7 linked regions of the Canis lupus familiaris genome follow. The protein of the gene in region 1 purifies or fractionates together with the protein of each later gene. This does not show direct contact. Links are inferred from orthologs where the notes say so. Each region holds a gene or a part of one and is shown in the gene's direction. Other genes may lie near its edges. The genes, in order: RUVBL1, DKC1, ZNHIT6, C10H12orf45, WDCP, tubulin alpha-1A chain and DPCD.

Evidence for each region.
Region 2: the proteins of RUVBL1 (region 1) and DKC1 purify together in Homo sapiens (affinity purification with mass spectrometry; 4 studies listed by BioGRID and IntAct, counting the BioPlex papers as one, with this or other methods). This does not show direct contact. The link is inferred for Canis lupus familiaris from reciprocal best matches to the Homo sapiens genes RUVBL1 and DKC1.
Region 3: the proteins of RUVBL1 (region 1) and ZNHIT6 purify together in Homo sapiens (co-immunoprecipitation; 3 studies listed by BioGRID and IntAct, counting the BioPlex papers as one, with this or other methods). This does not show direct contact. The link is inferred for Canis lupus familiaris from reciprocal best matches to the Homo sapiens genes RUVBL1 and ZNHIT6.
Region 4: the proteins of RUVBL1 (region 1) and C10H12orf45 purify together in Homo sapiens (affinity purification with mass spectrometry; 4 studies listed by BioGRID and IntAct, counting the BioPlex papers as one, with this or other methods). This does not show direct contact. The link is inferred for Canis lupus familiaris from reciprocal best matches to the Homo sapiens genes RUVBL1 and NOPCHAP1.
Region 5: the proteins of RUVBL1 (region 1) and WDCP purify together in Homo sapiens (affinity purification with mass spectrometry; 6 studies listed by BioGRID and IntAct, counting the BioPlex papers as one, with this or other methods). This does not show direct contact. The link is inferred for Canis lupus familiaris from reciprocal best matches to the Homo sapiens genes RUVBL1 and WDCP.
Region 6: the proteins of RUVBL1 (region 1) and tubulin alpha-1A chain purify together in Homo sapiens (affinity purification with western blotting; 3 studies listed by BioGRID and IntAct, with this or other methods). This does not show direct contact. The link is inferred for Canis lupus familiaris from reciprocal best matches to the Homo sapiens genes RUVBL1 and TUBA1A.
Region 7: the proteins of RUVBL1 (region 1) and DPCD purify together in Homo sapiens (affinity purification with mass spectrometry; 6 studies listed by BioGRID and IntAct, counting the BioPlex papers as one, with this or other methods). This does not show direct contact. The link is inferred for Canis lupus familiaris from reciprocal best matches to the Homo sapiens genes RUVBL1 and DPCD.

The regions. Positions count from the first base shown.
Region 1 is NC_049241.1:2,139,297-2,142,796, reverse strand, and holds part of RUVBL1 (ruvB-like 1), read left to right. Parts: intron 1-1,419; coding exon 1,420-1,483; intron 1,484-3,080; coding exon 3,081-3,279; intron 3,280-3,500. UniProt on the Homo sapiens protein: Possesses single-stranded DNA-stimulated ATPase and ATP-dependent DNA helicase (3' to 5') activity; hexamerization is thought to be critical for ATP hydrolysis and adjacent subunits in the ring-like structure contribute to the ATPase activity.
Region 2 is NC_049260.1:123,939,308-123,941,920, forward strand, and holds the end of DKC1 (H/ACA ribonucleoprotein complex subunit DKC1), read left to right. Parts: intron 1-17; coding exon 18-126; intron 127-884; coding exon 885-1,004; intron 1,005-1,273; coding exon 1,274-1,339; 3' UTR 1,340-2,113; downstream 2,114-2,613.
Region 3 is NC_049227.1:62,877,369-62,881,457, forward strand, and holds the start of ZNHIT6 (box C/D snoRNA protein 1), read left to right. Parts: upstream 1-1,289; coding exon 1,290-1,939; intron 1,940-3,085; coding exon 3,086-3,151; intron 3,152-3,235; coding exon 3,236-3,342; intron 3,343-3,422; coding exon 3,423-3,508; intron 3,509-4,089. UniProt on the Homo sapiens protein: Required for box C/D snoRNAs accumulation involved in snoRNA processing, snoRNA transport to the nucleolus and ribosome biogenesis.
Region 4 is NC_049231.1:34,426,757-34,429,200, reverse strand, and holds part of C10H12orf45 (uncharacterized protein C12orf45 homolog), read left to right. Parts: intron 1-43; coding exon 44-180; intron 181-2,059; coding exon 2,060-2,287; 3' UTR 2,288-2,444. UniProt on the Homo sapiens protein: Client-loading PAQosome/R2TP complex cofactor that selects NOP58 to promote box C/D small nucleolar ribonucleoprotein (snoRNP) assembly. Acts as a bridge between NOP58 and the R2TP complex via RUVBL1:RUVBL2.
Region 5 is NC_049238.1:18,592,666-18,596,759, reverse strand, and holds the start of WDCP (WD repeat and coiled-coil-containing protein), read left to right. Parts: upstream 1-1,294; 5' UTR 1,295-1,787; coding exon 1,788-1,969; intron 1,970-2,238; exon of another isoform or gene 2,239-2,392; intron 2,393-2,468; exon of another isoform or gene 2,469-2,594; intron 2,595-4,094. Other genes in the region: peptidyl-prolyl cis-trans isomerase FKBP1B, read right to left, coding at 643-679.
Region 6 is NC_049248.1:41,239,328-41,243,409, reverse strand, and holds the start of tubulin alpha-1A chain, read left to right. Parts: upstream 1-1,282; 5' UTR 1,283-1,380; coding exon 1,381-1,383; exon of another isoform or gene 1,384-2,234; intron 2,235-3,492; coding exon 3,493-3,715; intron 3,716-3,855; coding exon 3,856-4,004; intron 4,005-4,082. UniProt on the Homo sapiens protein: Tubulin is the major constituent of microtubules, a cylinder consisting of laterally associated linear protofilaments composed of alpha- and beta-tubulin heterodimers.
Region 7 is NC_049249.1:14,386,540-14,390,640, forward strand, and holds the start of DPCD (protein DPCD), read left to right. Parts: upstream 1-1,301; 5' UTR 1,302-1,381; coding exon 1,382-1,445; intron 1,446-4,101. Other genes in the region: POLL (DNA polymerase lambda), read right to left, coding at 247-361. UniProt on the Homo sapiens protein: May play a role in the formation or function of ciliated cells.

The DNA.
Region 1 (3,500 bases):
CCTTTGCAGGATTTCAGAAAGCCCGACAAAGCTGTGCCTTTCCCCCTGTTCTAGCAAACTCTTTAGTGTTTTAGCTTTGAGCAGGATTTGTGTCTGTTCCTCATGCTGGCAAGATGAAAACTTAACACCTTGACTAGTAAAATGTGGGAGAAGAACAGTATGACTATGTGACACCTCTGCAAAATGTGTGATTTTAAAACCCTAGTCTTCCCTGCTGGTAGTCTTTCAGTTTGATTTCCTCTTCATCCTGGAAGAGTCCTCCTCTTTACTAGCAGGGAATAGGCTTTCTTACTTGAAATTCGATCCTTGGGTGTTTTGCCCCTTCGAGCATTGGCCAAGACATTGCTGAAGAACTGTCTTGGACCAGCAGGTCCCTCTGTGTGGAACAGCTGTCCCCAAAGCAGCCTCCTGGGAGCTTTCGCCTTGGTTGGAGTGTTTGGCTGAGAGTTGGAAGTCGGGGATTGTGTCATTCCGACACTGATGAGCTTGGTCCATTAGTTGCTTTGCCTCCCTGAGTTTTCTGTGATTTAGGGCTCTTTGGCTTCGAGTTTCCTTCTCTGTGAAGAGGGCAAATAGTGCCTACCCTGTAGGATCAGATGTAGTTTCTCAGGAAACATCTGCTACATTTTACAACTAAACATTTAGTGAGCACCTCTGTGACCCAGCACCTGGCAAAACAGGATCACAAAATGCTAGGCAGGTGACAAAAGAGCACCTCTTCTTGCTGACTGCACTGGGAAGGGCTGGCAGGAGGGTGCAGCAGGTGGTGAGCCTGTTAGCAGCCTGCTGTTCTGTAGGATTGGCTTCCCCGACCAAGCAGCTCTAGACCAGGATGGGATTAATGTGACTGTGCAGTCGAGTCTGGAGACAGGAGATGCAGGAACAGAGATAAGTACGTCCTTACACTTCCCTCAACAGTCCATTCGTCCCCAAGGGAACTGGAGCATCAGCAGAGTGAAGGGCCAGATGCCCCATGAGGGTGTTTGACTTGAACTTGGATGGATAACTAGAGATTCCTGGAAAAGACACCGTGCTTCCTGGCAGGTGGACTAGAATATGCAAAAGCATTGAATCATAAAAGAACATGGGTGTTCAGAGAAGAGTACGGTCCTATGTGGCTACTCAGGGAATACAGGATCGGCAAAGGATATGGCTGAAGAAGGAGATTGGGGTAGGCCCCACAGAACTGGTACTTCCCACGAAGGGATTGTGCTCATTCTTGCAGTCCAAGGGGAACCTCTTAAAACTTCCTCCGTGTTGAGAGTTCCTCACGTTTTCCAGTGAGGGTGCCTGGGGTCTCCACACCTAGGACCCCGTGTCCAGCTGATAGTAAGAACAGTGTGATGGGGGTGGTGGTAGTGAGACTTTTGCAGCTGCCTTAGAAAGTTGGACTGACTCTGGGAATCTTTTGTTTTGCAGGGAGGGCAAGACATCCTGTCCATGATGGGCCAGTTAATGAAGCCAAAGAAGACAGAAATCACAGGTAAGAGAAATAGGCCTGTGAGCAAGAACCAGAACCCTAGAGCCCTGGATTCTGATGTACTGTGTGAGGCTTTTTTTTTTTTTTTTTTTAAGATTTTATTTATTCATGAGAGACACACACAGAGAGAGAGGAGGGGCAGAGACACAGGCAGGCCTCATGCTGGGAACCTGATGTGGGACCCGATCCCGGGTCTCCAGGATCACACCTGGGCTGAAGGCAGTGCTAAACTGTTGAGCCACCCAGGCTGCCGTGTGTGAGGCTTTTTGAGTGAATCCCCAGACCTGAGGAAATGCCTTAGGACAGGTTCGTTCTCCTTTTCAGAGCCTGGCTTTATCCTGGCAGTCGGTGGCTGTTTTAGACAGCTGTAAATAAAGCATACTGTGTGCTTCCAGCCCAGAGTGCTAGTGCATCCTCTTGAATGCATTCAGTATCCTTGCACTCATCTTTGAAGATGGAGGCTGCCAAAACCTCTGGTCCTTTCGAGGTCCAAGAAACATGGATGGTATTGCCCTAGCTGTGCAGGAGAACTCCCGCCAGACTGCTCCTGAGCACAGCAAATTCCACCACCTTGGTACTTGGCCTTCTTGCCCTACAGCCGCAAAGCAGCTCCCAGCCTGCCTGGCTCAGCTTCCTGGGCATGTCCCAGAGCTTGGCAGGAATGTCGCTGTTCCCTTGTGGACCTTTAGTTTACCCTGCTTCTCTTCCCAACTGGTACATCCCTCTTTTTTTCTAAGTATTACCTATAATTCTGTCACCTTAAAATGTTAAACATTAAAGCCTCTGTTTTTTGTTTCATGTTAGCCAGTGGAGTGATCTGAGACCTGTCTAGTAGAGTCTCCAAGAGCAGTTTCTGTGTTTTCACAGTTTTAACCATGAGTTCTCTTTTGACCATCCCTGCCTCATGAGTTTAGTGGACAATGCAGCATCAGATCTTCGTGTTCTGTGTTTGCGAGCAGCTCCCCCCTGATGCTAATCAGGAGCTGGTTTGGAAAATGAGAACTGTGACCTTAGATGGTCTTATGTAACTCTTGTGAGACCCGTCCCTCTAGAACTCTGAGGTTGGACCTTTCCTCAGAACCTGCATTCCTCACAGTTTTCCTTCCAGAGAAGATTCTGCACACACCCTGTTCTTCATCTAGGCACTTGATTGAAAGTTAATTAACCTAAGCTTTGTCACATAGGGCCAAAAGAAAGGGTCACTTAGCGCAGAACAGGAAAATTTGCATATGAAAACTCATTTCACACAGGGCTCCTCAACTTCTGTGTCTCTGCGATGTCACAGGGCACTAAATGGGTTGGTGTGAGTAATAAGGCAGCTGGGGAGTGTGCCCTTGTGAAGACATGCAAAACTATAAAAGCCACTTACAAACTTAACATATCAGCAGGGGAAGCTACCGGTTGTGTGACTTCTATGTGGTGATTATATTCCTATTTCCGGATGATAACACTGAAGTGGGGACATAACCTGCCTGGGTCGTATAGTTAGCAGTACAAGTGGGCTCCACACTTGAGTTAGGATCATATTCGGTTGGGGGAGAGAAGAAAAGGGGACCACTTCCCCACCTGACTATACTTGTCTCCTCTCACTATCTCCTAGACAAACTTCGAGGGGAGATTAACAAGGTGGTGAATAAGTACATTGATCAAGGCATTGCTGAGCTGGTTCCAGGTGTACTCTTTGTTGATGAGGTCCACATGCTGGACATAGAGTGCTTCACCTACCTGCACCGGGCCCTGGAATCTTCCATCGCCCCCATCGTCATCTTTGCATCCAACCGAGGCAACTGTGTCATCAGGTAGGGTGGCTCTTTGCCAGCCTTAAGGCCTTTCCACCTTCCATCTGGGTTCATGTTTTCCTCTGGGATCACTTTTTTTTTTTTTAAATTTTTATTTATTTATGATAGTCACATACAGAGAGAGAGAGAGAGGCAGAGACACAGGCAGAGGGAGAAGCAGGTTCCATGCACCGGGAGCCCGACGTGGGATTCGATCGCGGGTCTCCAGGATCGCGCCCTGG
Region 2 (2,613 bases), on another chromosome or scaffold:
TCCTACCTCTCTTGCAGCGACTCTGCAAAGAAAGAGGTGGTAGCCAAGGCAGGAACAGCCGCACAGGAAGTCACCGAGGTAGTAAAGTCCCCCAAAGTGGCTGCCGAAGTGGTGAAAGCCCCGAAGGTAGGTGGCATGCTGCAAGCGCTGCGCCCTGTGCCCGGCGGAGGGGGGGTGTCCGCTGGTCCTGAGCGTGATTGCACACCAGGCCCGTGTTGTGGCCCCACGCAGCCCGCTCCCCACCCCCGCACAGCGGAGACCATGCTGTGCCAGGCGTCGGGGTGCCCGTCGGTGCTGAGCGGGTTCCAGGGGGCGTTCCCTGCTGTGGCTGCCAGGAGCGCTACGGGCTCAGCTCACATTGGCCTCGGCTCCCACCTCAGCTGAGGCAGCAGTGCTGGAGCGCAGAGGGGTCCATGGGCTCCTGGCCCCACCCTGGGTCAGATGGTGGCACAGCTGTGTGGAAATCCACTGTGCGAAGCTCGGGGGGCAGAATCACCTGAGGCTGACCACCTCTAGGCAGCACGGGATCGGTGTTGGGAAGTTGGAGGACAGTAGGCAGTAGTACCTCGACTTCTCAGGGTTGGGGACCCGCGGCTTGAGAGTACAGCGTGGGTGCAGGGAGCGAGCTGGGAGGCGCTGCTGGCTGCCCCCTGGGGCCCCCGGCCCTGCTGCTCCGGTGCTCCTGCTGGGCCCGTGGCTTCCCGGTCTTTGGGGCGGAGGTTGTTTGAATCCTCTGCAGATGAAGGCTCTCTTGGGGGTCGTAATGAGGAAATGATCGTGTTGGGTTGAGTCGGGAAGTCCTCTGGCGCTTCCCGTGTTCTTACTGGACGTTTCTTCCCCACTTTGCCCACGATCTCACATTTGATCACTTGTCTGCACCTTAGCGGAAGCGAGACAGTGAGAGCGATGAGCTGTCTCCACAGCTGCTCAAGAAGGAGAAGAAGAAGAAGAAGAAGGAGAAGGCCAAAGCTGCCGCGGAGGGCGCGAGTGAGCCCGCAGATGGGGTATGTGGGGAACGTGGTTGGGAGGCCCGCGCTTGCTTAGCCGGAAGGGGCAGGGGGCAGCGTTTGCTGGCAGCCGCTCGTGCTGCAGACTGTTGATGGCGGGGCGCGTCTGAGTGGCGTCTCTTGCGGACTGTCTAAGAGGGGACATTGGGGCCTCCCTGAGAAGGTCCGAATATCCTCACTGGTCCGGAGGCGGCTTTATGGGGCCTTTGGAAGTCGAGCCGATTGGGTTGTTAACGGACGCACTGAGGCTGCCCTCTCTCTCCCAGGACAGTGACAGCGCCAGGAAGAAGAAGAAGAAGAAGAAAATAAAAGCGGAGGTGGTTTCGGAGTAGTGGACGCCAGCGCAGGCACGGTGCCCGGTCGGGAGGAGACATTAAAGCCTTACTGAGAAAACGTAACTCTTTTGTTCTTGAGGGAATGGAACGCAGGTCCCAGGAAGCTCGGAGAGTTCAGCGCTTCGCAGCTGCTCCCTGAGAACTCGGGGACGAGACCCGGCGTGCTCCCCCCACCCTGTCCTGTTCTAAGGATGTGGGTGCAGGAGGCAGGCTCGATGCCGCCCGCTGCGCTTCTCGGGAGAGCTGGGAGTCCCCTCCCTCAGATCCAGGGTGGCCCAGGAACGTCTGCGGGCGGCGCCCGGTGGCTGTCGCGACATCTAGCCCTCTCCTGCTTTGCACCCCCCCCAACTCATTTTAAAAGTCTCCACACGTGGCCCAGTGACCCGATGTGGAGCAAGGAAAAGAACTGAATCCTGTTGGTCACTTGGGGGATCAATCTTTTGTCCCGTGTCCTAGGAGGACAGTGGTCTTTTCTGGTGTCAGAGCCATCTCTGCCCCCCCGTGTGTGTCCCTGTCACAGGCAGGCCATCCCGTCAGCTCTGTCCAGCCCCCCGCCCCTCCCCGGCTTTAGCGGCCCTTTGTGCCCCTTCAGAGCCTGCGTGGACAGCCTCACGCACTTGAGTCCATCTGCCTACTTGTGTTTGTGACAGAAGCTAGGAAACTATTCCAGACTCTCTCTTTTAACCCTCTTTTACTTTCAAAGGATGAAATTACTTCTTGCTGGGAGAAGGTTGTACTTTTTACTTAATAAAGTCTACTTGTTTTTAAGTATTTCTGTTGGGTCTTTTATCGCAGATGTAAAACTAGCAAAACAAAAAATATAAACTAGTTTGATTAAAAATCTAGGGGACTTTATGTCCAATTTGGAACACAGGGCTAGTTCATTGCTTCCTTTTCTTTCCCTGGTTCTGAGTTGCCCCATTCATTCTGGGGCCCGTTCCCTGGCATGGAACTGAGTGAGGGCTCTGGAATCTTCGCTGAGGACATGGACTAGATGAAAGGGGGAACCCTCACAGTGATGTCCTAGACATGGGAAGAGGAGAGGAATGGGGCTGGCAGGAGGTGCCCCCCCCATGCATGGGCTGGGGTCCCTCCCTGCAGCGAGGTGAGGCCCGAACTTGAGGCTCAGTGTGCGCCTGAGGGTCTCGCGGGGACTAGAGCTCCGGGAGCCGCGGTGGGGGGGGCGCTGGGGCCCCAAGTGCGTAGCAGCCCAGCAGCTCCGCGGGGGCAAGGAAGCGGGGTGTCTCCCTCTGCAGGCTGTGGGCAGCGGG
Region 3 (4,089 bases), on another chromosome or scaffold:
CAAAGCAGCCTACAGCTGAGAAGCCATTTCTCTGAAGTCTCCTTTATGCAGCAAGAAAAATACATCTCCTATGAAGTCTCCTTACAGGTGAGAAAATACCTCACAGACATGATGTGAAGATCAGGTGAAAGTGCCTAAGGCCCAGTATGTGATAATAATAACCTAGAAAAGTAACTGAAACAGATAAATGTGTGGGTTTTGTTTTTTGCATTTTGGGGCATATTTTTTAGGCCTATTCCTGGGGATTGAACTTTTGGCTCAGTCTTTAAATCCCTAAATATGTTCTCTTAAAGAAGAATCCAGCAGGATTCTGGAAATGGGAAACTGGCTGTTACTGATGGCGCTGAAAGAATAAAAGTTAATTCCCTTTTTTCCTGTCTGAAACCTTTCAGGACTCCCTGTAACAACAGCCACCTTATAATGGAGTTTATTTCAATAACTACTGGCTTATTTGCATGCACGATTCCATTGAATCTTCACAGGAACGCCAAGTTGTGGAATTCCATCCTGTCTAGTGTACAGGCGAAGAATGAAGCCTAGATGCGTGGCATCAAGTGTTTTTGTTTGTTTGTTTGTTTGTTTGTTTTCTTTCTTTCAAGTGTTTCTTCCATTGTCATACAGGAGTGACGGGGCCCAGGGGCAGCGCTGGTGGCGCAGCGGTTTAGCGCCGCCTGCAGCCCAGGGCGTGACCCCGGGGTTTCGGGATCGAGTCCCCGTCGGGCTCCCTGCATGGAGCCTGCTTCTCCCTCTGCCTGTGTCTCTGCTCCTCTCTCTGTGTCTCATAAATAAATAAATAAATAAATAAAACCTTTAAAAAAGAGAGAAAAAAGAGTAACGGTGCCTAGAGACCTGGCGAGGTCCTCCGAGGCCCGCGCGGTCAGAGCCCTGCTGCCCGCCCCTCCCTCCCTCTCTACCGAGGAGCGTGGCCGCGCACGGGTTGGGGGCGGGGAAAGCGGGCGGACACCGCCCCCCCGGGGGATGGGTAGAGCGAAGCCCCGCCCCGGAAGTGGCTCTCAGTGGGCGTGGCCTCACGCCGATTCTCTCGGAGCCTCTGGGCCCGACTGCTGCAGGGCCGTAAAGGGCTCTCCGAGTCGTAAAGTGGCGAGGCGCGGCAGCGTTGCTCTACGACTACTTGGAACGAGAGCGGCAGGCCGGCGTTCGCAGCTTGGCGATTTTCGGCGCCGCACGTGGGTGACCGTCGGTGTTCGGGCCCGGAATTCGTTCCTTTTGGCGTGGACAAGCCACACTGAAGGACAGAGTGGCCGCGGAGACCGGGGGGTCGTGGGCTGATGGATATTGCTGTTGAAGATGAGGGGACTTTGGGAGGAGGTCTGCAGAGTGGAGCTGAGGGGGCGCGGCTGAGGCTGGCGTCCGACCGGGAGAGAGTCGGGGGCACCGCAGTGACGGAAGTTGGCAGCGTGGGAGCGGGGAACGGACTGGCAGGAGTGGAGAAGGCGGAGGACGGGGAAAGGAGTGGCCAGAAGGCCGAGGAGATGCGAGTGGACCTAACGGTTGTGAAGCAAGAAGTTCTGGATTGGTCGGAAATGGAAGAAGGCCGGTGGGTAAAGCAGGAGGCGGAGGACGCGCCTGAGGTGAAGGAGGAGAAACCAGGCGTATCGGAGGTGAAGCAGGAGATGGATGGGAGTTTTGAGGTGAAAGAAGAGAAGGGGAGTGAGGCAGAGGTAAAAGAAGAGAAAGTGAAGGTGAAGGAAGAGATGATGGACTGGCTAGATGTGAAGGAAGAGAAGAAAGGTAATTTGGAGATAAAAGAGGAAGCCTTTGTTACTCAGAACATAAAAAAGGAGGAAATGATGGATGAAGTGAATGTAAAGGAAGAGAAGTATCTCCCAAAGGAAGAAGTGATGGATGATGCGAAGGTGAAAGAGGAGCCTCGGGTAAATCCCCCAGCGGGTTTCAAACGGAAACTGGCCATGTCCAGGTAGGACAGGGAGAGATTCATTGGGAAAATAGAGGTGTGGAGTCCTCTGTTGTCTGGGATGAAGGAAATCGAGCAGCCGGGTGTCAAATAATGAACAATAAATGCCATCTTGGGTCTCTGGAGCCAACGTGTTGGTGGTGGAGGTGGGGGGGGGGAGGGGAAGGGTTTTGTCAGAGAACAACACATTCAGTGAAAATACGTCAGGCGGTAAGTGGCCAGTGCACAATGGCCAAGTCAGAAAATTCTGGGGACTAGAAAACTCTTGGACCAGATTCTGGTTTGACTTAATATGCTCTTGACTCAATATTCTTTAAAAGAGGATAGGCATAAAGAAAGTCTGCTAAACTAACAGGGATACCGTGGATCGTTAAAATCAGAAATGCACTTGAACTCCCCCAGCTGTCTACTTCCTCTGTGGATACTGTGAATGTTCATTGCTTTATAGTTAATCTCCTTTACTTTGTGATCATGTGACAGCATAGGAAATAGAAGAGTGGTCACATTCTTGGGACTCTTCCTGTCTAGAACAGACTGGGCCAAAAAGAAATGGCTGTAGTTTGGTTGTCAGTCCTAAGCTCCTAGAAGAGCAATTGGAGACAGATGATGGGTAAGAGAACTTCCAGATTATTTTAGTGCTCATTTCAGGTTGGGTGTGGAGATGAGAAGAGAGGCCGCTGATACTATGTATTTAACCTGGTCTCCTACTTTTTTGTGGTGTGTGTGCCTTTAAGGTATTTGAATTCACGGATTGGACCTCTGGTTATGTGCGCACGTGTGCACACGTACAAACACAATCATTAACGGACTGCCAGGAATCACAAGTTAAAATAGTAGTGAGCAATCTCATTCTGTGATCGCAATAGCAAAAGAAGTCAAAAGCGAGATTTAAAACTTATTACATGTTTTCTTGGATTATGTAGTACTAACAATATTGTAAATGTCGTTTGGAGACAGTTTCCTAGAGCAGAATTTTCTAAGGATGTTTGACAACTATCAAGTATTTTATCAGAGTTACTTGCATATACCTTCTTCACTGACTACATGTCTTTAAATTGTTGGTGATGAGTAATTGACTCAGCGTTAAAGATTATAGATAAAAGAGTAGAATTAATATTTGATAATTTATTTCCTTGTGGGCTTTTGTAGGTGTGAAACTTGTGGTACAGAAGAAGCCAAGTACAAATGTCCACGTTGTATGCGATATTCCTGCAGGTATATATGTAATTTCCTACCTTACTACCCATGTCTGTACCCATCGTACCTCAGTATAAAAGTACCTCCTCTTTGTCTCTTCAGTTTGCCCTGTGTGAAGAAACACAAAGCAGAACTGACATGTAATGGAGTTCGAGATAAGACTGCATATGTTTCCATACAACAGTTTACTGAAATGAATCTCCTAAGTGGTAAGTCATCTTAGGGATAGCGGATTGATCTTCCTGGCCACTGGAATATGTCATTTATTTTTCTATTTTGAAATTTTTAGATTATCGGTTTTTGGAAGATGTGGCAAGAACAGCAGACCACATTTCTAGAGATGCTTTTTTAAAAAGACCAATAAGCAATAAACACGTAAGTATTTATTTTTTCCATCACTTCCAGTTAAAATTCTTTTTATCAGTTAGATTCATTTTTTTTTTTTTTTCACCGAATATGTGGTGAGCAGCTACTGTGATCCAGAGCTATTCCAGTTACTAGGGTACATCAGTGACCAAAACAAATTTCTTCTCATGGAGCCTGTATTGTGTGGGGAAAGACAGGAGATGAGTAGAGGAACAAAGATAATTTCAGATAGAGTTTAGTGCATGTGGGAAATAAAGCAAGCACAGGAGATTAAAGAAAATTAAAATGGTGTTTTTTGGGAGGAGATTATGAGTATCTTCAATACAGTAGTCAGGAGAAGTTTCTCTGAGAGATGACATTTAAGCAATGATCTGAATGAGAGGCAGCCATGTGAACCTTTGGAGGAAGACTGTTCTAGGTAGTGACAAAAACAGAAGTAAAGACTGTGTTAAGAGTAAGGTTGGTGTGTTTGAGGATTAAAATGGGGACATGGTGACTGAAGCATAATTGCGTAAAGAGAAGAATATTCAACATGAGGTTAGAGAAACTGGTGAGGACTCCTAACGTATTCTGAGTGAAAATGGAAGCCA
Region 4 (2,444 bases), on another chromosome or scaffold:
AAGACTGACATAAATATTGATAAAGTATATTTTCTTTCCTTAGTGTTGGACCAAGTGCAGACCTTTCTCCCACAGATAGCTCAGGCAAATGAAAAGCTGAGAAAAGAAATGGCAGCTGCATCACCTGGTCGTTTCAATATTGAGGATATTGATGGGGCTCTTGGAAAAGTTATACAAATGGTAATGATGCTTTGTTTTCATTTCATAGGGTAAAATTACCAGTATGCCTCATCATCTTTAAGAGAGAGGACTTTTCCAGTATAATTCCAAGCGTTATTTTTTCCTTCTTGCAGAGTCCGCTCATATTTCCAGTACTGCATGGGGATCTGATCATTTTATGATCAGGGATCTTACAGATCAGTAAGCTTCCCTGAGTGGAGTTTAGGAGTGTAGCAATAGAGAATAGGAGGGCTTTTTCAAGTCAAATAGTACATTTGTTATCTTGAAGCATTAATTTACTAAGTGTTCCAAGTGGGTTGTTTTTTCCTAAAAGAAGTAATCATAACCTGATTCATGGAAAGTATAAAAATAAATGATGCACTTAACAGACTGATTACCTGAGCCACATGCAAAGTCTTCTTCATGTAGCCTCATTTCCTTTTCTACACCAGAGTTCCCTGTATAACACTTGCGTCTGGACAGAGCTGACAGCATGCTTGATAGTAACATCTCATTCATCAGCAGCTCTGGCCTACTCTACCTCCAGAATTTATCCAGATCCAGCTACTCTGTACCGTGTCCCCTGCTGCCACCCTTGGTCCATGTCATCATGGTCTCCTCTGGACTGCTGCAGTGATTTCTCAACAGGTTCCCCTGCTTCGGCCTTTTCTTTCCTATGATCTGTTCTTCACACTATGTGTGGCCTACCCTTCCCATCACACTCCTCATGAGTTCAGAGTCCCTCAAGGGCCCATGGGATCCTGCCTCTAGCTCCATCTGATTTACCTCCCACCTCTTTCCTGTACTCCCGTTCAGTCTCCTTGCTCCAGGTCTTGTCCGTCTTTGTACAAGTCTCTTCCCAGATTTCTGCATCTTCACTCCCTCCCTCTCTTACTAGTGGTCACCCCAGTGGCCCTATTAGAAGCTTATCCTATCGTGCTTTACTTTTCTTCATTTTAACTTGTCCTACACTATACTTTATATGTAGTTTTTCATTATCTTTTTTTCCTGACTAGAACAGAGGTCAGCAAGTATTTTGTATCTGAGGCCAGCTAGTACATACTTTAGGCTTGTCGGCCATACTGTCTCTGTTGTGACTGCTCATTTCTGCCATGTTAGCATGAAAGCAGCTGTAGACGATATGTTTGAATAGGCAGGTTTTATTGACTTACCATATCATTTTCATGGTTCACGAAATATTATCCCTTTGATTTTTTTTTTTCCTGCCACTTAAAAATTTTAAAAAACACTCTTAGGGCACCTGGTTTGCTCAGTGGTTGAGCGTCTGCCTTTGGCTCAGGGCGTGTTCCTGGGGTCCCAGGATTGAGTCCCACACCAGGCTCCCCGCAGAGAGCCTGCCTCTCCCTCTGCCTGTGCCTCTGCCTCTCTTTCTGTGTTTCTCATGAATAAATAAATACAATCTTTTAAAAAATAAAATAAATAAATAAACAAACAAACAAACATTCTTAGGTCACAAGCTAAACAAAAACAGATACTGGGCTGGGTTTGGCCTGCAAGCTGTAATTTGCCAATCCGTCTCAAAAATATCAGTGCCACAAAGGCAGGGATTTTGTTGCTGTTCTGGTGGAGTCTCTAAAACCTAGTGTGGTGCCTGGCTCATGTTAGTATTTGTTAATATTTGTTGGATGCATATTGTTGAATGTGTTCAGGTTGTATAGAATTGGGTTGTGGGGGACTTTTTAGACTTGTAGTACCTGTAAACCATCATGGTGGGGGGTGGCAACTGAAAGAAAAAAAAAGGCCATATTGTATTAAAAACATTTCTTGCCCTTTGTGCTTTGATATTTGTCCTTAATGTTGTGGGTTCTTCCCAAGGTGGTTTTTGCAACTTTCTAGGGGACTACCATGAAATGAATTTCTCACGTGGTGCTTTTGGCAGGATGTGGCCTTGTTTGAGATGAATCAATCCAATTCCAAAGAAGAGGACAGTTCAGAAGAGAGTTTACAAGACAGCTCGGAGGACAGCTCAGAATCTGAGGAGGAAGATGATAGCACCGCTTCTGAAGTCACCATAGATAACATTAAGCTTCCTCATTCAGAAGATGGAAAAGGCAAGATTGAGGTTTTGGACAGCCCATCCAGTAAAAAAATAGAAATAGTAAAATAAATGGTCTCAGAAACAGGTGATGTATGCCTGCTTGTTCTGCAGAAAAAGAATAATGGCTTGCTGGTTGTTTTGCATTTCAGATATCTGTGGTGCTTTTATGTATCATTAGATGTATTTTGTTTCTCAGAGAAACAAAAGCTACCTTTTAAAGAGCTGG
Region 5 (4,094 bases), on another chromosome or scaffold:
AAATGGGTCGGAGATCTGGGCTGGAGGCTTAAGTTTGGAGGCCATCGGTTTGCAGACGGTAATGAAAGCCATGGGAGTGTACAGGATGGCTGGAGAGGCGGAGTGGGGCGGGGAGGATAAAGCAGGATGCAGAGGCGGCGGAGGGAGCGCTTCTTCCTCGCAGACGGGCTCGGTCCCCCCACAACGTCTCCCCGCCCAGCCCACGGGGGCCGCGGGAGCCGAGGCCCTCAGGGGGGCGCGTTGGAAACGGGTTGCCCCAAGAAGGGAACCCTTCCAGCGGTCCCCGGAGCTCACCTAGCAGGGCAGGGAGAGCAGAGCCAAACCCCTGCCCTGGGAAATTAGCAGCGGCAGACAACTGAGGGGCTCCCGCGGCGGCGGCGGCGCCCGAGGCCCCCGGGGCGGTGGCGGGCCCAGACCCCCGCCTGCGGCCGCCGCCTCCGACGCCCTAGGTGAGCCGGCGCGGGGAGGGGGGCGGAGGGTCGTCGGCCAGAGCTCCGACAGTGCAGTCTGGGGTCTCCCCCGCCGCCCCACCCTGCGCCCGCCCCCGCGTCCTCACCCTCCGCGCCACCTCCGACCCAGACCCCCGCCCGCCCGGCTCCGCCCCGGGACCCTTCCTCCTCCCCCGGCTCCGCCGCCCGGTACCGTCTCCCGGGGAGATGGTCTCGATCTCCACGCCCATCGCAGTCCCACTGGCCCCGCCTCTGAGGGTCCCGGCTGCTGCCCCGACCCCGGCTCGGCTGCGGCTCCGGCTCCGGCCCCGGCCCCGGCCCCGCTGGCGCTCCGGCTCGCCTCCCCGCCGCCACTGCAGAGCCGGAGGAGGTGCGGCGGGAGTCGGGACCTGCGCGGGGAGGGGCCACGGGGAAGGGGGCGGCGGGGCGGAGCGGGGCGGCGCGGAAAGGTGGGGTCGGCTGGGGCGGGGCCCGGGGAAGGGACCCCGGCGCCGCGGCTCCCGGGCCTGGCCGGGCCGACCGTCGTTCACGGGGGTGGGGGGGGACGGAGGGGGAGGCAGAGACCCCCGCGCATCTACGCACCCGCCGGTGCAGCCACCCCTCTATGCATCCGCTCATCACAGATTTATCTAGCATCTACTCTGTGCTAAGCTCTGGGGAGTCAACCCGGTCCCACCGACTAGGCGAAAGCCAGCAACTAAACCAACACTTTAAATAGATGCGCTCACTGCCCTGGAGTCCAGAACGTTAGGGCAGCACCCGTTAGGGTACTCGCCCTGGCTCGGCTGCCGGACTGTAGGAGCAGCCTGGGGGTGCGCGCGGGCGGGGGGAGGGGGCGGGGGGGAGGGCACCGGCCATTACCCCACTGCGATCTCCCTAAACCCCTGGTCGCCGTCCCGCGTAGTTCTCCAGCACTCACAGGTAGATGCCCACCTTCAAGGCAAAGAACAGAGCCCTGAGGATACCAATTTAATTAAAGCAGAATCGCTGTCGTCAAAGAATGAAATTTTGTGACGGGCGGGGACGGGGAGAGTTAGTTACAGCGTGGAGTGATTCGTGCTGTGGGATGAATGAATAAATTATACCTTGAGCTCCTCTTCCACGCTAGACCCTTCACCTCCACCCAAAAGAGTTCCAGGAATCTAGAAAAACATCTTTGGAGGAGATGACATTTGCTTGAAGAATGAATGGAACTTTATTTTTTCCCCTCTCTTTTTCTCTCATCTTTCCCTGCATTGTTCTAAAAATCGACGTGAAAGCATGGTTCTGACCAGTGGCACTGGAATATAGGCACGAGGAGAAAAGCCTGAGCAAAGGCACCCAGAGTGGACCCTAGAAATGTTCTTCTTCCACCCCCACCCCCAAGGCTCCCAGATGGTTAGGTCAGACTTGAGGATATCAGCATCACTGAAGGAGCACTGGCTGTTTTGTTCAAGAAAGATGATGGCCAACTGTACTATGAGGGTCAGCATCCGAAATTCCCCATGGACTGCTTCACGGCGTGGCCCAGAGTCTCCCAGGTATGCAGCTAGTCTAAAATCTAGTGATGCACCGGGTCCTTCCTTGGACTATGGTCCATGGGGAGGCACTCTTGGGGAAAGTGTAGGACAGGGGTTTGTAACTCGGATAGGTCCATGGAGCAGCTTCAGTTGAATGCACAATATTTAGGATAGGGATAAGTACATTTTTCTGGGGGGGGGGAGATTTTTATCACATTTTAAAGAAGTGATACCATCCCACCTCCTGACCCCCTTCCCCGCCCGCCCCCCCCGAAGAAAAGTTAAGAAACCGTGTAGACTCTAGGAATCCTGTACTCTTTCTTAGACTCAGAAAATCGAGGAGAAGTGGGGGAAGGCTCTCCCCTTCAGGGAGGGCGAATGTGTGGCTGGTTTACTGTAGATGGAGTTTCACAGAAACTACTACTCCCAGAGATCCATGCAGCGAAGCCCGAGCTTATTGGTCAAAGGGAAGGACCCTCCCCTAACGTGACACAAGTAAGAGCCAATAGACAGAGGGCATTGTGGGACTTGCCCGGCTACCGCTGTCCTATCAGGAGCCTGGGGGCCGGTGCTTCCGGTATTCGCTCCGGGCTCGGGATCCCGCGGCACCCGGGAGTCTTATTTTCTGTGGGCAGTAATCCCGAAGGTATTTTGTCTCCGCAGCTGCCCAGCTTACCTGGTGTCGGGAGGCTGAGGGTGGGCCCGGAGGGAGGTGGAGGGGCCGGCGCTTGCTGGGGAGTGGGCTGGGCCCAGGTGTGCCGAGAGGATGGGGAGAAAGGGAGGAGGAGGCGCGCGGGGGGCCCGGGCGGCGGACCGCGAGGGGGGAGGGGCTGAGGGTTTGAATGTGTTCCACGTGACTCGCTAGTGACACTTCTGGGACTATGTCCCGGGGCAGCCACCCGGGGTGAAGAACGTGCTTTATGCATAAAGAGCCTTATCACAGCGTCACGTACAAGAAGGTAAAGTTGGCTTTAAAGCCTCAGAACCAGGTGTCTCCACAGTGAGGAAAAAGTATGCGCCTTCGCGGAGTGAATATGATTAAGTGGCTTCTAAAAATATTTATAGAATTTAAATGGCATGGGAAAACGCTAATATATAAGTGGAAAAAATCGTGATGTGAGATTGGACAGTATGGTTGGAAAATGTAATCATTTTCCATAGAAAAAAAGTCCCAGAGGGATTTTTTTTTTTTTCCGTTGGATGAATATGCTTTTTTAGGAATTTACCTTTTTGCCTTTCTCCTGTGTTGACTAAAAAGAAAAAAAGTGTAAAGCACTTGAAATTATTTTATAGTGGAAACACAATAAACAGAAAAACAAGTTGGAGGTTGTGTAACTCTGTTTAAACCTACTGGAGGGGGACCCCTGGGTGGCTCAGCGGTTAGCGCTGCCTTTGGCCCAGGGCGTGATCCTGGGGTCCCGGGGTCGAATCCGGCATCGGGCTCCCTGCATGGAGCCTGCTTCTCCCTCTGCCTGAATATGAACAAACAAACAAACAAATAAATCTTAAAAAAAAAAAAAAAAAAAAAAAAACCTACTGGAAGTGGTCCAGTTCGCCTAAGCGCCTTGATTCTCACCTGAGTTGTCTTGAAAACAAGAATTAAATGGCCATAGGCTGAGTACCAGGTCCTGGTTCTGGCCTTCTCTTCCCTGAAGTAATAAAACAGTGAACTTTTCTTTCCCTAAAACTCCCTGAAATCTTATAGTCACAAGGATACAGTTAGCATCAGGGAGAATTTAAATATTTTTTAATATACAGAATAATTGGGGAACGTCTGAAGGCTATTTCAACTTTTGTTCTCTTGGCTCTGATCTTTCACAGCCAGGGTGTCCACTGCTTTGGTTTTAATTACCTACATTATGACAGTGACTTCCAAACCCTTAACCTCTGACTGCCTAAGGTACATTGCTACCCTATAGACATCTTAGATGAAGCAGATCTTTTTTTTTTTTTTTTTTTTTTTTAGATTTTTACTTATTTATTCATGAGAGACACACAGAGAGAGAGAGAGGCAGAGACACAGGCAGAGGGAGAAGCAGGCTCCATGCAGGGAGCCTGACGTGGGACTCAATCCCGGGTCTTCAGAATCAGGCCCTGGGCCAAAGGCAGGCACTAAACCACTGAGCCACCAGGGCTGCCCACATGA
Region 6 (4,082 bases), on another chromosome or scaffold:
AGCCTTTCTAAATAGCAAAAGAATGTTACTGCAATCCATTTCCTAGGGCTGAAAGCAAAGCCTTTTTGTCCCAAGAGGCAATTGAGCAACCACCACAGTCTCTAGTTGAATAGCAACGGTGTGAGGCTGTCTACAATTCCCACAGTTAGAAGTCCAATCTCTGAGAAGATTTACTGAATTCACACAAGAACTACATAAAAAAAGAAATGCAGTTATCGAGCTGACAAACTTGTCTGTGGATGGAGACAAAATTATAAAATGTCTTCTTTCTTACATTATACAGCTCTCCTTTTAAATTTGATGTCTTAGTTATTCTCTTCCTTTCCAGAAAAAGGGCGGGGGGCGGGGAGAACAATGCCGAGAATAACTGCATGCACAGGTACTAGAACTAGTTTCTGAACTCCTTGTATTTTCTCAATTCTGTTATCAGGAAAGATGATTCATCTTAAGGAATAATACACTACATAAAATATAGTAATCACACAGACTTCTGGTAAAAGAGTATTTCTAGTAGACTATTTAACTACAGTAGGTTTCTTAGATCTTAATTATCACCGTGTTAGAACTACTTGTGTGCTTCCATATTTAGTATGGTTTTCTTCCATCCTCCCTTTTGTTTAGCTATTTGGGGGAGGGGTGCAAAAGAAGGTCTGAAGATAAATTACTTGAACCTCAAAAGCCATTTTGGATGGCTCTATTACTGAACCTTCTTTTTATATTAAAAAAAAAAATCACATGCACCCAAGCCTTTTTAAGCATCATTCCCATCTTTTCTCCTACTTTATCTATAAAGCAATTAGAGACGTTGAAGCCTCACCGAATGTGGTAGAACTTAGTATATTTTGAGAGAGGAGCTGGGAGTAATTTTCCATCAAATATTTCATGTGAACACAAATTCTGCGATCTAAGTGTTGGAGAAAAAAAAAAAAACCTACACTGGTGATTTTAACTGTAAGTGTGAGGTTTAAGCAATAGCAAAATCATCCAATTCAAGTTTTCTTTCTTCTTTTCTCCACCCGCCCCCCAACCCCACCCCATCATGGATGCTCGGCTGACTGTTTTTGCACAGTCTCTTTGTCTGGAGGATGCAAACAGTCTATGGATGCTAGGGAAAAAGGGGTGGGGGAGAGATTACCTCATCCCATGTTGCTTGCACCAATCACCACTCTCCTGTCGTGACTTCTCCGGGCAGATTGAGGGGGTCTGGACCAACAGGAAAAGGCCCCAGCCCATCCCCATGGTGACCGAGTTGTATATAGGGAGCCGCATCCGCCCATGTGCCGCAGGTTCTCTTACATCGACCGCCTAAGAGTCGCGCTGTAAGAAGCAACAACCTCTCCTCTTCTCCGCCATCCGCCCGGCAGCCGCCAAGCAGCAACCATGGTAAGAATCTTCCTTCTCTGGCTCTTTGTGGCCCTTGGGTGGGGTCAGTCCCCCAAGATCTGCTGGGAAAACCTGAAGCCCTCTTTCCTTCTTTCCTTTACAGCTTCTTTGGGTAAGGGTCAGCCTTTATGCTTTGTTTGCGAGGTGTAGCTTCGCTGCCCCAAATCCTCGAGCCCGGCCGCCGCCGCAGCGCGGGGTGCGGGTGCGGGTGCGGGTGCGGGAGCGCAGCCAGGACTGCGCCCGGGGCGCAGCAGAACCGTGGGGAAGAACAAAGGCGGCGCCGAGCGAGTCCTTGTTATCTGAGCCCTTCCGAGCCGCGAGCAGCCCGTCTGTCGGTGACGACAGGATCTGGGGCAGGGAAAGGCGGCCCCGGTGTATGTGTGGCTCGGACAGGCTTTTCTTCCTGGCGCTGGTCCCAGGGGGAGGGCGAGAAGAGGTCCCCCAGCCCCGGGCGCGGCGGGTGCAGTTGGGCAGGGGGAGGGGGAGAGGAGCGGGACAAAGCGCAGCCCCGGGCTAGAGGAAGAAGATCGCTCCGGGGTCGGTGGCGTTCTAGGGAGATACCCGCGTCTGCACGGGGGAAAATGGCTAGTTTCTGCTGGAACCCCGGGCAGCCGGCGTCGGGGCGGCGCAGGGGCGGAGTTGTTTGTTTCTGGCTTCTCCGGCCTTGGAGCCGCGGGGCGGGGTTCGCTCGTCCTCTCTAAGCCTCCTCTGTCGGAGACTTTTATTAAAAGCCTTTCATCGTTGTGGAACTGTAGGCGTTAAAAGGTTTTTCATTCACTGTTAAAACGTAGATGAAATATTTCTTTCTTGAGATGCAAAATCACAGTTCTCTTCACAAGCCCTTTAAAGTCTGGTCTGGGGCGACCCCGCCCTGACTGGAGTGAGTGTGTGTGTGTGTGTGTGTGTGTGTGTGTGTATGTGTCTGTCTGTCTGTCTGTGTGCTAGCCGCACGGCACGTCCAGCAAGAGAAAAAGCTCACTTTGAGAGCCAGGGTACCCTACTGCCCAGGACCCAGGGAAACGCCCTTCCCCACCCCACCCCCCCGCCCCCAACCCCCGCCCAAATGTCAGTGAATAGACAATGGCTAGACAATGGAAGCTGTAGCCATAAAGACTATAGGGAAGAAAATCTCTTATTCAACGTGATGAGTAGAAATATTCTGTGGTGAGTAGAGAATCTCAGAATGAAAATACTATTTTATTATTTTAAATAAATATTTCATTATCCTTGCACTGAGCTTTTATTCTTAGGTAGGTCCTCTGATACTTTTCTAATTTAGGAACTATTGTTTTAAAGATTCTAATAATTTTTCAGGGTTTTTTTTTTTATTTTGCAGTGGAGAAGATTCTGGAAGGACATCTTTTTAAGTAATGAAAATGCTGCAGACAAAGAACTATGTACTCTCTGTTCAGCTGTCTTTTGTTCTAGTGAATCTACATTAATTCATTTCAGTTTAGGCATATGGTCCCAGCCCGGGTCACAGAAGGAAAACTGGCTAATAGCACAATGAGATCATGTAGGCAGTTTCTGGAAATAGAACTTACTCTGTTAAATAATGTAGCAGACAGAATAGGCTAGTACCAGGCACAGCAAATGCAGCAATGCAGCAGTGCAGGAGGCAGACCTTGTTAGCTTCCAATCCCCTAGTACTAATGGATTCTGCAGATACACTGCAAAGGGGTGTGGCATCTAGCTTCAGCTGCAGCACAGATGTCCATGTTAAAATACCAAGTCATATGTAGAAGAAACTCTTATTTAAAGGGGCAAGAATAGTAATATTGATTCCAACTAATTAATGATTAAATTTAATTTGCTTCATTTTACAAAATCCGTGCTTTAAATATTTTTAAATAAAAAAATTATATTTAAGCATGACTGGAAACAATGGGCTTGCACATGTGCGAAACAGTGCAACATTATTATTCAGACCACACCCATCTGCAGCATTTGTAGCAGGTGCTTTCCTTAATCATTTCTATTGAATTAGGGATAATCTCAACTAAACCTGAAGAATACCTGTATATTATTAGAAATATTTTCAAAAATTAACTAAAAATTCAAAATGCTACCACAACCTAATTTACAATTTTCCTCTTTTCCTTCCCATAGCGTGAGTGTATCTCGATCCACGTTGGCCAGGCAGGTGTCCAGATCGGCAATGCCTGCTGGGAGCTCTATTGCCTGGAACACGGCATTCAGCCCGATGGCCAGATGCCAAGTGACAAGACCATTGGGGGAGGAGATGACTCCTTCAACACCTTCTTCAGTGAGACGGGCGCTGGCAAGCATGTGCCCAGGGCAGTGTTTGTAGACCTGGAGCCCACAGTCATTGGTGAGTTGGCCTCAGTAACCCAAGTGAGCTCCCGGGGCACTGGGACAGGAGGTCTGTCTGAGGCTCCACTGACAGCCTGGGGCTGAGCAGGGTCATGCAGGTTGTTAGTGATGGGTGGCCACCTTGTTTTCCTTTTCCAGATGAAGTTCGCACTGGCACCTACCGCCAGCTCTTCCACCCTGAGCAGCTCATCACAGGCAAGGAAGATGCTGCCAATAACTATGCCCGAGGGCACTACACCATTGGCAAGGAGATCATTGACCTTGTCTTGGACCGAATTCGGAAACTGGTATGTTTATTCTCAAGAATAAAGTAAATAAGGATCTGAAGGAAGACATTTGAGATACGATGTTTTGTTTTGTTTTGT
Region 7 (4,101 bases), on another chromosome or scaffold:
GCTGGTCATTTCCTTAGGGGCCAGAGAGTATTTTCTGATTAACAGAGGTCTAGGGATGGGTTAGAAAATAACACAGCCAAGTGGCCTGGCAAAGACTGGGGCCCAAGCCTGGTACAACAGATACACAAACCAACCTGCAGGCCATGGGTTGGCAGAAATCAGCTCTACTATCTGATTCTAGTCATGAACAATATAGGAAGCCTAGGGGTTCAAGTACATGAGGGCTCTGAGGGTGGATCTGCTCACCTCTTTCTTCTTCTCCACCTTCTTGCTTGGGAATCTTTGCAAGTGCTTTTGATGATGGATTGGCATGAATTTTCCTCCTTTTGGGAAATGCCTTCAAGATGCCCCCAGGGTCCATTGGGGTATTGGCCAAATCACGGCCTTTCAGTTTTAGGTTTGATCGGGCCAACTGTCATGTGGAAACCCAGAACTGAGGTTACCCAACCCTTTGCCTATGGAGGTGCTGTCTCTAACAACCGGACTTTGGAGGCAGTACCTCAGTTCCCCTAGGGGTCTCCCAAAACCCAGCTGAGCTTCAGCAATTTAGCCTAGCACTTACCAGCCTTTCAAAGTCAGAATACTGGGGGATATAAAGGGAAGAATGGGACTATTGAGGAACTCTGGAGGGGTACAAAATGATACTCCTCAGATGGTTGCTCTAAAGAGTCAGTGTAGTGTCTGCTCTGCAGCATCCCACTTTGAAAGGGCTTTACCAAAAGGGGATGCCAGGCTAGGAAATGGAGCTACATCTTTAGAAAGGGCTTGGGCTCCCAAGAGGATTGACGGACTTAGATGAATCTGCATTTAAATCCCACATGATCTTCCTCTACCCCATCACAGGCCCGCAGAGGAAACCCTCGGGGTGAGGGTGTCCGGGGGGCGGGGGAACGCCCTACACCTGCCCTGGTGGTGGGCCTCTAGTTCGGGGGAGCTCAGCCCCGCAGCTGCGGGGAGACGGGGCATGGCCACAGCAGGTGTTAGGGCGCCTTCCGAGGCTGGGGGGAGTCTCGGCCTCACAGCTGGGGGTGGAGACGACCCGCAGCTGTGGGGTCCCCGCCGCGTCCCCAGCTGGCGCGCACCCAGGGACTCCCAGCTGGGGGCCAGAGGAGGGCTGGAGGGTCTGGACCCTGCCCTAAGGACCGCTCCCCCCGCCGCGATTGGGTCCGCGGTGGTCGGACCCCGCGGCTCACCCGCGAGCCGGCCGGAGTAAACCACTTACCAGAGCAGCCAATGAGAGCGGACGAAGGGCGTGGCGGGTGGGAAAAGGGTGGGGGGAGGGAGGCCAAATGCCCGGAACACCTTCCGGGTCGGCCGGAAGTGACCGTAGGCGGAATGGTTGCCATGGCAGCGGCCGGTCGCGCGGCTGGCTGGAGGGAAGATGGCGGTAACCGGCTGGTTGGAGTGTCTGCGGACCGCCGAGAAGACGGCGCTGCTGCAGGACGGTAACTCGAGGCCCCCCACGAACTCCCTAGTCCTTTCCCCCAGGGCCCAGCCCTTCGGACTGGGGCCTCCGCGAAGGGCCTTCGAGCCTGGGACGGCCGAGCTGAAAGGGCCGCGGCTGCCAGACGAGGCCCGGTCCTGCTTTGGCAGATGAGGAAACTGAGGCCCAGAGCGATGACGTGACTGGAACACGCGCCTCTGGACACCTCCTAGTTCCCTCTACACCACTTCGCCCCGCTCTGAGTTCTGTTACTAATAAAAACTCCTTTCATATTCGTTATGTTATTTGCTCCAGACAGCTGTCCCAAGCAGCTCTTTAATTTCCACCCCATTTTACGGGAAGAGGAAACTGAAATTGAAGAGGGTTTTAGACCAGCCCTAGCCCGTTGTCCACTCGGTAGGGTTCTGTTGCTGAATGCAGCCTGGTGTCATTGAAGAGGTGGGGAGACCTGGGCCCTAGTTACTACTCTGCCATTAAATCACAGCTTCTTTATTTGCTTGGGCCTTATTTTCCTCGTCTGTAAAATGAGCTGGATGGGCAATCTCTGATGTCCTTTCCAGCTGTCATATGTTTGTAAGTGAACTTCTAAATATTCCCTGGGATCTATAGGGAAAAACAGCAAGGGCCCCAGCGCTGTGCCTGGGAAAGGTGGGCATAGGGGTAAGGAGTCCTGATTTTGTCTCACTCTAGGATTGGCGGGTGTAGGACCCCCCATTGCCGCAGAAGTCCTTTCCTGGACGCACTTGGCAGCCAGATGAATTAGGTCTAAATTCATGTAGCTTGAGGATACCAGCTGGAAGCACACATCCATCCATCCACCGGAGGAGGCCAATCAGGGAAGCTTGGAAATTAATATCACCTGCTCATTTGCTCGTTCATTCACGCAGCATTTAGGGAGGCTTTTACTATGTGCTAGGTTGTGTATTAGAGCAGAGAATGAAAAAAAGATATGTAAATAAATGTGTGTTAAGTAGACGTTGGGATTTTCTGTAAAGTGTATGAGAGCACGAAGATGGAAATGATCATCTCTTTGAAAGAAGACCTGACAGAAGAGGTAAAGTTTATGGGTCCTAAGGAATTAATGTGTTTGCTAAGTGTAGAAGAGGAGATGGCTGTTCTAGAAGGAATGACTCACATGTAAAAAAAAAAAAAAAAAAAAAAAAGGGCATGGAGGTGTGAAAGTATATGGCTGATTACTAGGGGAAAACAAAACATTTAGTGAGGCTGAAACAGTAACAGTCACCTAGCCATAACCCCCCACACTGTCAGGTACCAGGTGCTAGGATGCAAGGTGAATAAAAGTTCTCTTTTCTCAAGGAGCAGTGAGGAGAAATGGTGGGAAATGAAGGATTTTAAATAAATTGGGTATGTTGTGATAGACCTTTTATGCCAAGCTAAAGATTTTGGACATTATTTTCATAGGACAGTGGTGTCTGGTTTTATTATAAGAAATAGATAATATAGAATTTACCATTTTAATGATACAGTTCTGTGGCATGAAGTATATTCATATTGTTGTGCAACCATCACCACCATCCATCTCCAGCACTGGATCTCTTCAACTGAAACTCTGTACCTGTTAACACTAATTCCCCCATTCCCAGCCTCTGGCAACTACCATTCCACTTTCTGTCTTTATGGAATTGATTATAGCAGGAACCTCATGTAAGTGGAGACATACAATATTTGTCCTTTTGTGACTGGCATATTTCACTTAGCAACCACTTATTTCAACGCCCATCTATGTTGCATGTATCAAAGCTAAATAACATTCCACTGTATGTATGCATATGCCACATTGTATTTATCCATTCATCTGTTGATGGACAGATGCTTCCACTTGTTTAGCTATTGTGAGTAGTACTGGACTGAACATGGGGGTACAAGTATTCGAGTTCTTGCTTTCACTTCCTTTGGTCACAGGACAGTTCTTAACAAATATTACATCATCTAGGATTTTGTTAGGTTTTTTTGTTAGTAGCATCCACAACAATGCTGTTGGTCTTTTTTTCCCCCAAGTCAAATAATAATAATTAATGTTAAGTATATGGATTGGATACATCTTGTCAAACCTCTCCTATAGATTTACTTTCCTGTTGGGTATGTGGAGAATATTACCTCCCTCTCACAAAAAAAATCACTGCTATTGGTAGTGAGAACCCAATACTCTTGAATTTTTTTTCAGGAAGAATTGATGCTCATTATGGAAATATGAAAAATAACTAAAGTCACCTATCAACTACCATCTAGAGATAATCATAATTTACATTTTTTAAAAGATTTTATTTATTAGAGAGTGAGCAAGACTGGCAGAGGCAGAGGGAGAAGCAGACTCCCTGCTGAGCAGAGCGCCAGATGTGGGGCTCAATCCCAGGATCCTGGAATCATGACCTGAGCCAAAGGCAGATGTTCAACAAACTGAGCCACCTAGGCACCACCATAATTTACATTTTCATGCATAAACTTTCATATTTCTTCATGCATGTACAGTCATATATATATTTTTTTACCAAAGTATACTAATAAAATTATGTGTGTGTATATATATATACACACACATACACATATATAGCTATAAAGTAAATATGTGATAGAATAAAATACAGATAATTACAACTCCTGGGTAGTAACCACAAAAGAAAAACCAGTTGACTGTA